4 linked regions of the Kluyveromyces lactis genome follow. The protein of the gene in region 3 interacts with the protein of the main gene of each other region in a biochemical or structural test. Links are inferred from orthologs where the notes say so. Each region holds a gene or a part of one and is shown on either strand. Other genes may lie near its edges.

Region 1 (3,094 bases), on a different chromosome or scaffold from region 3:
TCTCCAGAGATTTGCGGCAGAATTTTCATTGAACCGATCTGATAATGTCAAGATAAATAGATGATTATCGGAAATGAACGTTGATGCTGGAGACAAATCCTGTAATTGTTCGGCAAACGGACTCAAACTCTTAAAATTAACATCGGTGATATACAACTTACTGGAAACATCTCCGAAAGGGGATAGTACGGTACTCTCCTGACAGATTACCTTGTCTTTTAATTTGTACAGTTTTGATTTTGATGATTTCTGTACGAATGAACAAAACATGTTTAAAGGGTTTGAATCATCATTACTTTTAGAACCAGAGCTGGCCAATTTGAAATTGTTACCATCTTTGGAATAAAACGAAATCTGCCTTAAGGTAAATTTACCATCCAGTTTACCTAGTTCATAGATATTGATAATTCTTGCATTCTTATTTGTGGGATGTGACTCGATTTCAACGTTGATAATCGGTTTACGATTTTCATCGCCGACGTTCGAATAATCAGAGAAGTCTATCTTATGATTATCTGCGTCTAGGAAAGTTAACTGTTTCCAAGATTTCCCTTTATCACCGGTAGCTAAAACGCCGTTTTCACCACTCAAATATGCAACATCTGCTTTATAAATCCGATCTAGTACCAAGTGATTCCATTCCTGAGGTTTGTTATCAGACGAAAGGGGCAATCCCACCGAATCCCAAGTAACACCATTATCCTCACTTCTATAAAGCTCAACACCACGAAGAAGTTTAAGAACTACTCTCGAATCATCAAATCCGAGGATAGACAAGCGGCCATGCGTGTCTACATCCGAATGGAACGATACCTTGGGTTTAAAATCCTGAGCCAAAACGGGCAGAAAGTTCCAAAGCCCCAGCCAAATAAGGATATTCCACCAAAACATGAGACAAAGACGTTAAAAGTACTGCAAGCAATGTAAAAGGGTTTCGTTTATATCGGTAATTGAGTATATACATGAAACACAAGCTAACTACCGCTAAGACCAAAATTACAACGAACTGTTGAACAATGGTTCAAAAGACAATCTGTACGATATATTCTATTTTTTCCTCCTAGCAATTTTGATAATACCAATTCTGAGCATTTGAAAGTTGGTAAAAGGGAAGAAGGAAAAAAAAGGACGCGTCACGTGAATGTGAACATAATTAAGAACCTTAATTTTTCCCTAAACTGTTGCAGCTTGTTTCACATTATCTCTGAAGAAATTAGTCTCGTTTCAAGATGAAACGGCCGTACTTAAGGGAATATGGGGAATGTCGCGTTCATGAATTACAAACAATTAAAGTGAAAACTTCGATGGTTTGAGGTTTTGAGGCGATTTAGTGAGAAACAAGAAGACTTAAGATATTACATATATATATATCATACCTAAAAGTGGGTAAATATGGATAAATTCTCAGGCAAGAAGGGGTGGACAAATTTTTGCTCTGGTTTTATTCATCCAGAGAACCAGAGATAGATAGTGTGACAATGGGCAAGAGGATAGTATTTAACATAAGCTCTGAGTTTCAACTACAGTCGCTTCTCGGTGAGGGTGCTTACGGAGTGGTATGTTCAGCGAAGCACAAACCCAGTGGAGAAATAGTTGCTATCAAAAAGATCGAACCTTTTGAGAAACCCCTATTTTCTATTAGAACATTAAGAGAGATCAAGATATTGAAGCATTTCCAACACGAAAACATAATCAGCATATTTGACGTGCAAAAACCATCATCTTTCGAACAGTTTAACGAGGTGTACATAATTCAAGAGTTGATGCAGACGGACTTGCATAGAGTGATCGTGACGCAGGAACTAAGTGAGGATCATGTGCAGTATTTTGTATACCAAACTTTAAGGGCGCTTAAAGTGCTGCATGGAAGTAATGTGATCCATCGAGATTTAAAACCAAGTAATTTGTTGTTAAACAGCAACTGCGATTTGAAAATCTGTGATTTTGGTTTGGCAAGAATTGTATCTGAAAGAGCAACAGATGGCGATGCCCATGTTGACGCTGATGACACGGATGATAACTCCCCTTCATCGGCGGCTAATGACGGTGACCCGGCAATTTCGGGAATGACAGAGTATGTGGCAACCCGATGGTACCGAGCACCGGAAGTAATGTTAACAGCTGCACAGTACTCCAAGTCCATGGACGTATGGTCATGCGGATGCATTCTTGCCGAGCTCTTGGGGAAACAACCGTTGTTCCCCGGGAAAGATTACAGAGATCAGTTGATCCTGATATTTCAGACTTTAGGGACACCCACGGAACAAGAATTGGTGGAGCTAGTAGAAAATAGACGTGCACGTGAGTACATTCGCTCGTTACCTAAGCATCCCAAGATCAATTGGCGGCGTAGGTTCCCGAATGCATCTGCAGCCGCTCTTGATCTCCTTGACCGGATGCTGCAATTCGATCCGAGGCTACGGATCACTGCCACGGAAGCGCTATCACATCCATACTTGGTCTCGTACCATGACCCGGACGACGAGCCCGAAGGAACTCCGATTCCTTCGTCATTCTTTCAATTTGACCAATGGAAGTCGCGGCTAAATACAAAGGATTTGAAGCGGCTGTTATGGAACGAAATCGTGTCATGAGACACACCATCCAAAAACAAACGAATGACTAAGTAACCACTAGCGTATTATATCATTTTCTTGTGTAGAGGTCTCCAAAATGAACAAAGAACACCATCAGATAAACATAATGCGGTTTTGTGCTTTGGAAAGGAAAAAAAGAAATTGAGACGAAAAGATCCCATTTCGGAGCCGCCGTTCTGCGATTATCTTAAATGCGATTTTTTCTTGTTTGTTTTAGGGGCCCCCTCGTTGCAGGGAAGGTCAAACCAAGAAAAACAAATTACACGCACTAGGAAATCTGTGAACGAAAATGCAAAAAATCCATTGATCCGGACTTTAACACGCATGACTCTTTCCTTCACTATGGTATGCTCTTCAGTCATACATTGCCACATGCAGTAATTCTTACGACCCGATACGATTCCTTCCCCTCTCTATCCTTGCAAACTTAGTAAACTGAGTAAGCTGCACCATTAATGTTTCGGGATGTCCGAGCTATTGTGTGATTCGAGTAGCGC
Region 2 (3,415 bases), on a different chromosome or scaffold from region 3:
GTCATCTCTCAAATTCGTACCACCAGTGGTAACCATACAAGAGATACCACAGTGTTTCCCTAGCGTGCGCACCACTTGTGATGTTTGCAAAGCCAACTCTCTTGTAGGAACCATAATCAATGCTTGAATTTTGTTCAACTTGGGCTTCACTTTTTCCAAAGTTGGTATAACGAACGCTGCCGTCTTACCAGTACCGTTCTTGGCACGCGCTAATATATCCTTCCCGGCAATGGCAACGGGAATAGCTTCTTCTTGGATTGGGGAAGGCTTCTCAAACCCTGCTTCAAATATACCCATCAAAAGTTCTCTTTTCAAATAGAAATCTTCAAACGAACGACCCTTCGTGTTCAACACATCATCAGTCTGAGGCCTCGTATCCTTTTTAGGAATATTCAACTGGGTCTTCCAGTCGTTATTACTTTCGCTTGTATCGCTGCCCATATTATCAATTATCTTTAATATTCTTTGCAGATAAAGTTAAACCTTCTTAAATAAAGCTTCAATGAATTAGTCAATTAATAAAATTAGTCAATTAGTGTATATCCGGAAACTATGCTGTTGCTAATATCACAGAGTAGAATGTATAAATACTATACCTATGACCATAATACACATGTTATACTTTTATTTCCTCTTGTGCCTCTGTAATAATTGTTCAAATTAATTCTAAACTTCATAATTTTTTCTTCTTTCCAGAGTGGAGGGAAGAGCAATGTTACCCTACTGAAGCAATTACAAGTGCGGGTAACGGATATCACCCTTTTCACAAAATCCGAATTGTCACGTGATAAGAAAAGTGAAGACATGTCCGGGTAACAAATATGCCAAGGGCTAAGCTCAGCACCGTGAGGCTTCTCTATCACTTGTAGCGATAAGGTACGATGCAGTGCGAATAATGGGAATGCCTAGACAAAAATATATATAGATGTATCAGCGCATATGAGCGTACGTTGAAATGAGAATGCTCGAGGCAACTAGGCATTCCCATTACGTTCAATAGCAGAAGTGACTTCCTTTCATTTTCTTGTTCTATTCGTGGTTCCGTTGAGGACCACACTAATTTATCATGCACCGTATAAATAAAAAGTAGCGTAATAATTAAGTAATGATAAAGAAAGCCTATACAAGGCTAAGCAGTAACTCAGAAGAAGAAAGAGACGATTACTGAGGCAGCAAGGAGTGTTGCAAAGAGCCAACGTGTGTTGTTTTTTGGAACCTGGTGGGGTCTTTCTATTAGGGTTTCTAGTTGCATTTTAATTTTTGTCTCATTTTACAATCATCTGAGCCTGTAAGTTTGGCTTTGGTATTAATATCTATTATTGATCGTAAAACTTTAATATCTCCAAAGAGAAGAGGCGCAGAAAGTGGTGAACATTGAGGTCAGATTGACTTAAAAGCATATGATTACACGTACCCAAAACGGCTCGATGTTATTGAATCGAATAAACCATGAACCGTCGAATGATAGTGCAGAGGGATCGTGCAATAGTTTGTTCAAACCGAAGACTTTGAAACGGAAGAATTTGAAGCATTTGACTCTAGAATCATCATGTTCATCATCATCTTCCTCTCCTGACGAAATACCGAAAGGTTTTAGTAATGGAAATGGTCCAACACTCAGTTTGATGTTGGAGAAGCTTCCGGTCCGTGAGGAAATAAGTCCAATTAGCAGAGACACTTCATTCCAGACGGTTTCATTCCTTCAAGGGAGTTCTAGTACATCAGATATATCTTCCATTGTCAGCGGGACTACACCAACCACAAGAGATGCTCCAATGTCACTTACTCCTACAGGAGTCAGTATGATGCAACAGGAGACAGATGAAACGGCCACATTGACTACTCAGATTGCTCGACTTTCTTTAACCCCAGAGAACGGAATTCAACTCGAAAACCTTGTACGATTGAGCAAGATTGGAGCGGGAAATTCGGGTACTGTGGTGAAGACTTTGCATGTACCTGATTCTAGAATCATAGCTAAGAAAACTATACCAGTAGAGAATAAGGAAGTGCTGAAAAATCAACTTGTTAGAGAACTAACCATCATGAAAAATGTTTCAGCCCATGATAACATTGTTGGTTTCTACGGTGCATTTTACAATCCATCCACCACTAACGAAATAGTGATTCTTATGGAATATATGGATTGTGGCTCGTTAGATAAGATTTTGTCAGTTTACAGATCTGATTGCCATAGGAAAAACGTTTCTATATCGTGCAAGACATCGTGGTTCAACGAAATGCCTCTCTCAAGGATCTCCTTTTGTGTTTTAAATGGACTTATCTATCTTTATGACTGCTATAAAATCATTCACAGGGACATCAAACCGTCCAATATATTGATAAACTCGAAGGGAGACGTAAAGATCTGCGATTTTGGTGTCTCTACTACTCTAATTAACTCTCTTGCGGATACCTTTGTCGGAACCTCCACTTACATGTCACCTGAACGTATCCAAGGTGGCAGATATACTACTAAAGGTGATGTGTGGTCATTAGGTCTTATGATCATCGAGCTCAGTAGTGGTGAGTTCCCACTAGGTGGACATCACGACACACCAGAAGGGATTCTTGATCTTTTACAGAGAATTGTCAATGAACCTGCTCCAAAACTGTCAAAAAATGAACATTACTCCATAGAAATGACAGATTTCGTGAACAGGTGTTGCATTAAGGAGGAGAGAGGACGATCATCTTTGAAAGAATTGATATGTCATGATTTCATCTGTAAGTATAACAACAGAGACACTATTGCAAAAGAATTCAGGCATTGGTGCAAAAAAGTGAAGAAGCGGATCAAAGAGGATAAGATGATAAGAAGAGAAGAGACAGAGAGAAGTAAGATCGAAAAAAGACAATTAGAGAAAGCAGCGTTGGCTGTTACAGCCGCAAGGTCTTCGAGTACAAGGCGATGAAATAAATTAAGAAATTGCACTATATTAGGATAAATTGATGTCCTAGTTTGCATCTCATCTCAATAACGATCATTATTACAGGAACGGACTATGGATCAGTAGCATAAAGAATTTATATACAACTTATTTAGGACTTTCATATAGAATCGGAAATATTCACTAATGTCACTAAATCGAAAAACTATTACCAAACCTTATACTTTTTCTCTTTATTCCATAACCATCCTTCCGTTCCTCTATATATTCCGAAGGCAATCAAGGCTCCACCGAATAATCTTGCTGAAGATACCCACCATTTTGGATTCAGTTTTGCGAACTGTTCAACGGTTACACCTTTCTTCTTTTCAGCTTCACCGTATTGGAACGGTTTACCGCTGGCTAGATACCCACCAAATCCCAATGAGAATGCGGTTGCCATTATTTGACATGGAATACAATCTCTTGTCTCTTCATCTGTTAGATCCCTTTGTGCTGGTGGATTAAATAAACTTGTGATATTA
Region 3 (4,056 bases):
ACTCCAACCCTAAGAGGTAGATTGCAAGAAGATACTTGGGATTTTGCTAAGAAGAGCTTTGCTTTCAGAGATTAGAGCAAGAACGAATTAGGTAATTGAACGTTAAAGTTAACTTCTTTGCGTTTATCCTTTTTTTTATTCCCATCTCTCTACTCTTCCCTTTTCGAAAGACAACTATATTCCTATAAACTGCCCTTTCACAATATTATGCTATAAGGTTCACAAGATGATACTATTTGTATAGTGCATCTGCTATTTTCCACCAATCAATATTAAAGTACCAAAATCATAAAAAAACACCTTTTAGATACAAGTGTTTTTTATTCATTTCATTCACGGTATGGTTTCTATTCAGATAACTGTTTTTTTCGGTTTTAAAACATGAATGTTCATCTGTGACTTCTCATTCTCTCTCTCTCCATGAGACTTCGTTGATGCTTATTCTCAATGCCGAGAACATTATCTGGTTACTGATGCCTGCCATTACGGATTACCTGCGTTTTAATTTCTTCCCAAACAAAACAACGATACAGAATTTTCTCATTACTCCCAAAAACTACCTCAATAATTCGTGCTACAATCTTCTTTTCTTACGTTGATCTTGCGCCTGTTATAAACATGATTTATTGTGAACTAGGTTTTGTAAACTAATCTGACATTGTTCTTCACCATAAATTGTCTCTCCCCTTTTTGGTTGCTACGATACAATGTCGTCAAATGCGAAGCCGCATATTAGACAGATGAAAAGTTACAATACCTTGTCCATCATTGAATCATCTACTCACCTTTCTAATGACTGATCTCACGACGACTTACCCCAATAATCATCTCATCTCTATTTACTAGACTTACATCTAGTCTATATATAAATTGTATTTACTGAATTAAAGTATCATAGATATACTAGAGACAGTTTTGTCACCCTGGTTCCAGAGTCACTGCAGGACCCTACTCATCGACTTCCTAAAATGTACACTTTGTCCTGATTTCATCACTATCTCTGTTTTCATTTAAGGGAAGAAAATTATTCATTACTTAAGACCGTTGATGTTTAAATCTGAAACAACCTCAAAATGGCATCATGATGAAAGGGGAAAATATAGTGATTGCAGATTCCGGGAGATTTGAGATTCTTTTAGTGAATTCTCCAAAGTAGCTACCATGATATCGTTACTTATGTGCTAATCTATCAATTGAATAACTGAACAATTATTGTTCAAAGTATTAAGAATACATCCAAAAGTCTTCAAACTTTAAGGAATTTAAGAGTAACACTACGGCTGACTAGAGCATATTAACTATTACTTTGCTAGAAATGTCTAGAGGTAATACATCATCAATGAATTCTCAGGATATCTTATTTCAATTGACTAATGTGGGATCCTCCCCGGTGCCTAAACTGGATACAGGATCCACTTCAGGGTCCAATACCTCATCGCCAAGAAGATGGACAGAGCTTTTTTCTAAGAAGAGAGTGAAGACGCCTTCAGTTGGTACTCCATCGACTGCATCATCCATGATATCTTCCTTCTATGATAGTTCTCCCATAAGACCAGTGTCAAAACAGCATCCTAAGCACCTCCTGGTAGATCCGATCATGCCGCCTCCACCCATAATGCTCTCTCCCATTGGACATGAGACCTTAGGAAAGAAGCCCACTCGAAAAAATGGTAATAAGTCTTGGAAAAATGAGAGATGTTGCATATGCGGAGATCTTTGTTCGTTCAAGGGTTCTAATGAGAAGGTAATCCCTTTGGAGTGTAACCATATGTGTCATGAAGATTGTTTAATGGTGAGTTTACGACCTCTTCCTCATAAATCAAACCTGTATGATGCCTTGCCGAAATGCGACATCTGTAGTATGTCATGCATACCGGGACAGGAAGATATGCGACAGAAGGTAAGGTCACACTTGTTAACCTTACCTGATGACGGTGAAAGTGTTGGACTCGAACCGTATAATCCTCAAGAAAACTACGAGCGGATAAAATTGTGCGATGCAGACCTCTTACCCAAGCACTCAGGTAATGATGAAACGTTTCCACATTTGCAGACTACTAGAACAACTGCAAGAAATAACGATATCAGGTTATCTTTTGCATTTTCTTTGAAACCAGGGAAAACGGTTACTCCATCTCTTCGAGATTCCATCCGTTTGCATAGGAGTCGCAGTATAAAAAGAAGATCCAACTTCAGAGGAAGTACGGTTTCTGGCTTGTCGTCCATCGTATCATCTTCCTCGAAAGATGACTGTCAACTGCCTTCTTTGCACGTTCAAAGGCAGTATTTCATTCAAGCGTTTTTGAATAGTTTTAGCGAAGTCAAGCCTTGGGAAATTGATGCTAAATATGGACTCTTACGATTGATAGATAATTTTTTGATATCATTAGATGGCATAAATTTCCAACACCAGGTTTGCTACCTATTTTCGGAATATTTACTAGTATGTCGACCATCTCCTGCTACTTCGGCAAATGTTCTTCAATTCTCGAGCTACCGTTGTTTCCAATTGAATAATCCTCCTGAACTAGATTTATTAGATGCAACTACTCTTGAATCAAAATCTCGTTCTGGGGAAAGAATTCTTATTAAACCTTATGGGTTGGATACAAAAGCTTTAGAAAAATGGATAACAGCTCTATTTGATCTTACTTTGCCGTTCGGAAATTATGATTTCACTTCGATCAAGGTTCCCGAATTTGTGGCTTGCATTCCTAGCACCAATGATACAGGTACAATCATTGTCAGACGACAGAGTACCTTAAATGAAACCCTTATCCCTAAAACAATTCGAGATTCATCCGTGTTAACCTCAATATCATCCATTTTGTCCATCAAAAGAGCAACACCAAATGAATTAAATTTGGTGTTGCAATTAGATAAAAGAAAGACTAATGAAGATAATATCGTCTCGATCAAGAACGTCATTTTAGCTTTGACTTGGAAGTTTTCTACTTTTAACTGCTGTATTGTTGATGTTGAAGGAATGGTCATCAATTGCGGAACTGCTAACGATGTTCTCAATTCGTTGGCTGGTCCGATAAAAAGTAATGGTAATCAACCATTCTCTCCAGATCTTTTACACCAATTATGGTATCGGCAAAAACAGAAAATATGCAAAAATGTTGGGGTTGTTGTTTTATCAAACTCATCCATGGAGAATGGTAAATCATGTCTTTTTAGCGATTATCGAATATTCGCTGATGCAGGCAAACGGCATCCAAATGAATTAAAAATAAAAGTAGGCTTTCTGAATGTAGATTATAGTGATAATATCAAAGAACTCGTTGAAATTCAGGACTGGAACGAATTGCTTGAAGCTGTTGCCTATAGTTTTAATTTGAGCTTTGATGATGATTTAGATAGTAGTGACTGTGTCAGTACCTCCTCTAGTGATTTTGAAGTGGATTCAGTTCCAGATAAGAATAGAACATTCCGGCTTTCATCACCTATATCCTGGGAAAATCACGTACAGGCTGACTTGACAGGATCTATGAATGGTATTAGTGAATCTATTGAAGACCGGCAATCAAATCATATGTACGACTATTTATAACATTTTCACTCTCTCTAATTCATCATATATTTTTACCATCCACAAATCTCTCTCTTGCCTGGATCGACACATAAAAATCATCGATTTTCCCGAGACTCCAAGTTTATCAACAACGTGAAATTTTGAAGAGTCCGGAGTTTCTGGTGTTATTACTGAACTTAACATTATCCTTTTGTTTGGAAACCACATAACAAAAGTCCTACTACTCTCTTCATCCATGCTTTTCCATCCGTCAGCATACACTCTTGAGAGACTATGAGAACCTGGATTAATAGAGTTAAAGTCTTTGTCTCGGTCCAAGAGTTCCTGTTCACTGAGGGCACCTGAATATAGATAGCATTTCTCTATCGGAATCGTTAAAAAATGTCTATACTTTGTCGAATCTTTCGCGTAGCCCCTTATGGATCTATCGAAACAGTGGTACAACATTATAAACCCAGGAATCAACACCATGAAATGCTTGTTGAATACTGAATGTTTTCTGGATTTATGATAAATTA
Region 4 (2,738 bases), on a different chromosome or scaffold from region 3:
AAATTCTCATACGTGAACCTATCATACCACATGACGTTTTTATCATCAGGTGAAATACAAGACCAAACACCACCTGCCCATGGACTAGTATAACCAGTGGGTGACTGGTCACCTGGTAAGTAATCTGCCACAATGCAGATATTTTCACCCGGAACGCCGTACAATTCGGTCAAACAGTACGTGACGTACAAACCAGAAATACCTGCACCAACAACAGTGATCAATGGCTGAGATTTGTTAGACATGTCATTTGATAATTTCAGGCTCAAATAAAGCTTACTGATGAAATTGTGACTTTCACCGCTATAGATATATTCAGTAGATGTTTTACTCTACTATAGAAACTGGGAATGCTCAAGTAAGTGATCTGCCAATTGGCTGTTTCCTACTTCAAACTGAAACTAGGTTGGAAAACTTTACTGAGGAAAGAGAATCTCAATCCCATGTCCCTTCACTTATGTATGTTACCGATGACAAACCATGCTATTCTGACAAACGCGCTGCCTCGACCCCACCTATCTTAGATATCACTTCCAGCTCATTTACAGTCAAGTCATGTTGCCTTCTCTCGAGGAACTACCATTTAAGGTAACTCGAAAAATCTGTAAATCCACGTTGCGGTCTTAGCTATTCCCTTATCAATTCTCTGTTAACTTTAACTATGACTTTCAGTTCACCTATCGGGAAATGAGTTCCGCAGATTTACCCGCATGGATCCAATTTATGCTCAGTCGCAGTGGTAACAACCGACAGAACATGTGTGAAACTGCACTTTCTTGAACGGTGAAGCGCATTGCGGTATGTCCGAGCAGTGATGTGTATTATAAGTCACATGACTGACACCGGGGTAACATTTTTTCAGGTTTCGAGATTGGATGGAATGTTCACCAACATGAAACAAAGATTCAAGGACGAAACATTCTTTATCTGGACGACATGGAACGTCGCGCATTGTGTCAACTCAATGGGATACTTAAGGCGCCGAGTCAACGCTCGGGAATGACGATAAAGGATTCCCATCCAGAGTTTTGCAATTGGACGCTATAGGTATATATAATATTTAATCCTTAGTGGGGGGAAACTAAATCTATAATAGTGGAATAGCAGAGATCATTATAACAAGCAAACCGGAGATCTAACAGCATAGAGATGCCACGAACAATCACGTATGATATCCCATCCCATTATCAACTAGTAGATCTGGTTGGTGAGGGAGCATATGGTACAGTTTGCTCTGCGATACATAAGCCAACAAACACGAAAGTTGCAATTAAAAAGATACAGCCGTTTAGCAGATCGATGTTTGTTACCAGGACGTTACGGGAGTTGAAACTGTTGAAATTCTTTCATTCGCATGAAAATATCATATCGGTCTTGGATATAGTACGTCCGACGTCATGGCATAAATTTGAAGCAGTTTATCTTGTACAAGAGTTGATGGAAACGGATTTGCAGAAGATTATCAACCAACAAAATTTATCAGAGGATCATATCCAATATTTCGTTTATCAAATACTAAGGGCTTTAAAATCGCTACATTCGGCACAAGTAATCCATAGGGATTTGAAACCAAGTAATTTGTTACTGAATAGCAATTGTGATCTCAAAGTGTGTGATTTTGGGTTGGCTCGTTGCCTGGCATCGAGTGATCAATCAAGAGAGAATATGGTGGGTTTCATGACAGAATATGTAGCTACCAGATGGTATAGGGCTCCAGAAATCATGTTGTCCTTCCAAGAATACACAACTGCAATGGATATCTGGTCATGTGGATGTATACTAGCAGAAATGATCATGGGTAAGCCGCTTTTCCCAGGTAAAGATTACCACCATCAACTCTGGATCATCTTAGAAGTTTTAGGGTCTCCAACTTTGGAAGACTTTGAACAAATCAAGAGTAAAAGGGCAAAAGAATACATATCTCAACTACCCATGAAGAAAGGTATACCCTGGGCTAATGTGTTAAATAAAGAAGTTAACCCTCTTGCTATCGATTTATTGTCCAAGATGCTAACTTTCAACCCAGACAAGAGGATCAGTGCAGTTGAAGCGTTGGAACATCCATATTTGGCAACATATCATGATCCAGATGACGAGCCAGATTATCCCCAACTAAACCTTGAAGACAATTTTTGGAAAATTGACAACGAGGCCCGCGATAAAAACGAGGAAGACGATATTCCACTGGAACTGTTGAAAAAGATGCTTTATGGTGAAGTTATGAAGCCTCTAAATTGATATGTTCGATATTCTATGAACTAAAAAAAAACTATCCGCATAGTCTTTGAATGAATGTACTGAGACTCAAGGATTTTACGTTTCATGGGTACTTCTCATTAGGACGCCTAGTCTGTCAAATTGAGGAAAAGTAATACAAGAATTCTCATACTCATATTAGACAATCATATAGTTAATTACATAACTAAGTAAAGCTACGAATAACCACATCACGTTTTTCATACTCTTTGATCCCTTATGAACCTTAAGTGTACTTTATGCCCTGAAATGAAAAATAAAGTAGCGATATAATTAGAATGAACAAGAACTTGAACAAAAGACCCGCATCAATAGAAGAAAAAATGAAAACCAAAGTGGATCTTAAAGAAATCATCAAGAGCACCAAAACAGGTGCAAATAGCTTTAAGGATTGGTGAAGTGTATAAAACGTGTTATTCGGGGCTCGCATATCATAATTCGTTCAATATGATCAGTGAAACATCGACGATGCGGTTACCTTC

The links.
Region 1: the proteins of STE5 (region 3) and FUS3 form a complex in vitro, tested with the Saccharomyces cerevisiae proteins (6 studies listed by BioGRID, with this or other methods). The link is inferred for Kluyveromyces lactis from reciprocal best matches to the Saccharomyces cerevisiae genes STE5 and FUS3.
Region 2: the proteins of STE5 (region 3) and STE7 form a complex in vitro, tested with the Saccharomyces cerevisiae proteins (3 studies listed by BioGRID, with this or other methods). The link is inferred for Kluyveromyces lactis from reciprocal best matches to the Saccharomyces cerevisiae genes STE5 and STE7.
Region 4: the proteins of STE5 (region 3) and KSS1 form a complex in vitro, tested with the Saccharomyces cerevisiae proteins (2 studies listed by BioGRID). The link is inferred for Kluyveromyces lactis from reciprocal best matches to the Saccharomyces cerevisiae genes STE5 and KSS1.

Annotation. Positions count from the first base shown.
Region 1 is NC_006041.1:928,511-931,604, forward strand, and holds FUS3 (mitogen-activated serine/threonine-protein kinase FUS3), read left to right. Parts: upstream 1-1,478; coding exon 1,479-2,594; downstream 2,595-3,094. Other genes in the region: PEP1 (type I sorting receptor), read right to left, coding at 1-891. UniProt on the Saccharomyces cerevisiae protein: Together with closely related KSS1, FUS3 is the final kinase in the signal transduction cascade regulating activation/repression of the mating and filamentation pathways, induced by pheromone and nitrogen/carbon limitation, respectively.
Region 2 is NC_006039.1:1,450,681-1,454,095, reverse strand, and holds STE7 (mitogen-activated protein kinase kinase STE7), read left to right. Parts: upstream 1-1,400; coding exon 1,401-2,915; downstream 2,916-3,415. Other genes in the region: DExD/H-box ATP-dependent RNA helicase DHH1, read right to left, coding at 1-441; DMO2 (Dmo2p), read right to left, coding at 3,100-3,415. UniProt on the Saccharomyces cerevisiae protein: Serine/threonine protein kinase required for cell-type-specific transcription and signal transduction in yeast. It is thought that it is phosphorylated by the ste11 protein kinase and that it can phosphorylate the FUS3 and or KSS1 kinases.
Region 3 is NC_006042.1:1,102,593-1,106,648, forward strand, and holds STE5 (Ste5p), read left to right. Parts: upstream 1-1,315; coding exon 1,316-3,556; downstream 3,557-4,056. Other genes in the region: PDA1 (pyruvate dehydrogenase (acetyl-transferring) subunit E1 alpha), read left to right, coding at 1-75; SPO71 (Spo71p), read right to left, coding at 3,551-4,056. UniProt on the Saccharomyces cerevisiae protein: Component of the pheromone signal transduction pathway. It mediates pheromone signals acting between STE20 and STE11. It is absolutely required for pheromone-induced transcription of FUS1. May play a role in cell-cycle arrest in response to pheromone.
Region 4 is NC_006037.1:217,443-220,180, forward strand, and holds KSS1 (mitogen-activated serine/threonine-protein kinase KSS1), read left to right. Parts: upstream 1-1,149; coding exon 1,150-2,238; downstream 2,239-2,738. Other genes in the region: KLLA0_A02475g (FAD-dependent oxidoreductase), read right to left, coding at 1-245; LUG1 (Lug1p), read left to right, coding at 2,704-2,738. UniProt on the Saccharomyces cerevisiae protein: Together with closely related FUS3, KSS1 is the final kinase in the signal transduction cascade regulating activation/repression of the mating and filamentation pathways, induced by pheromone and nitrogen/carbon limitation, respectively.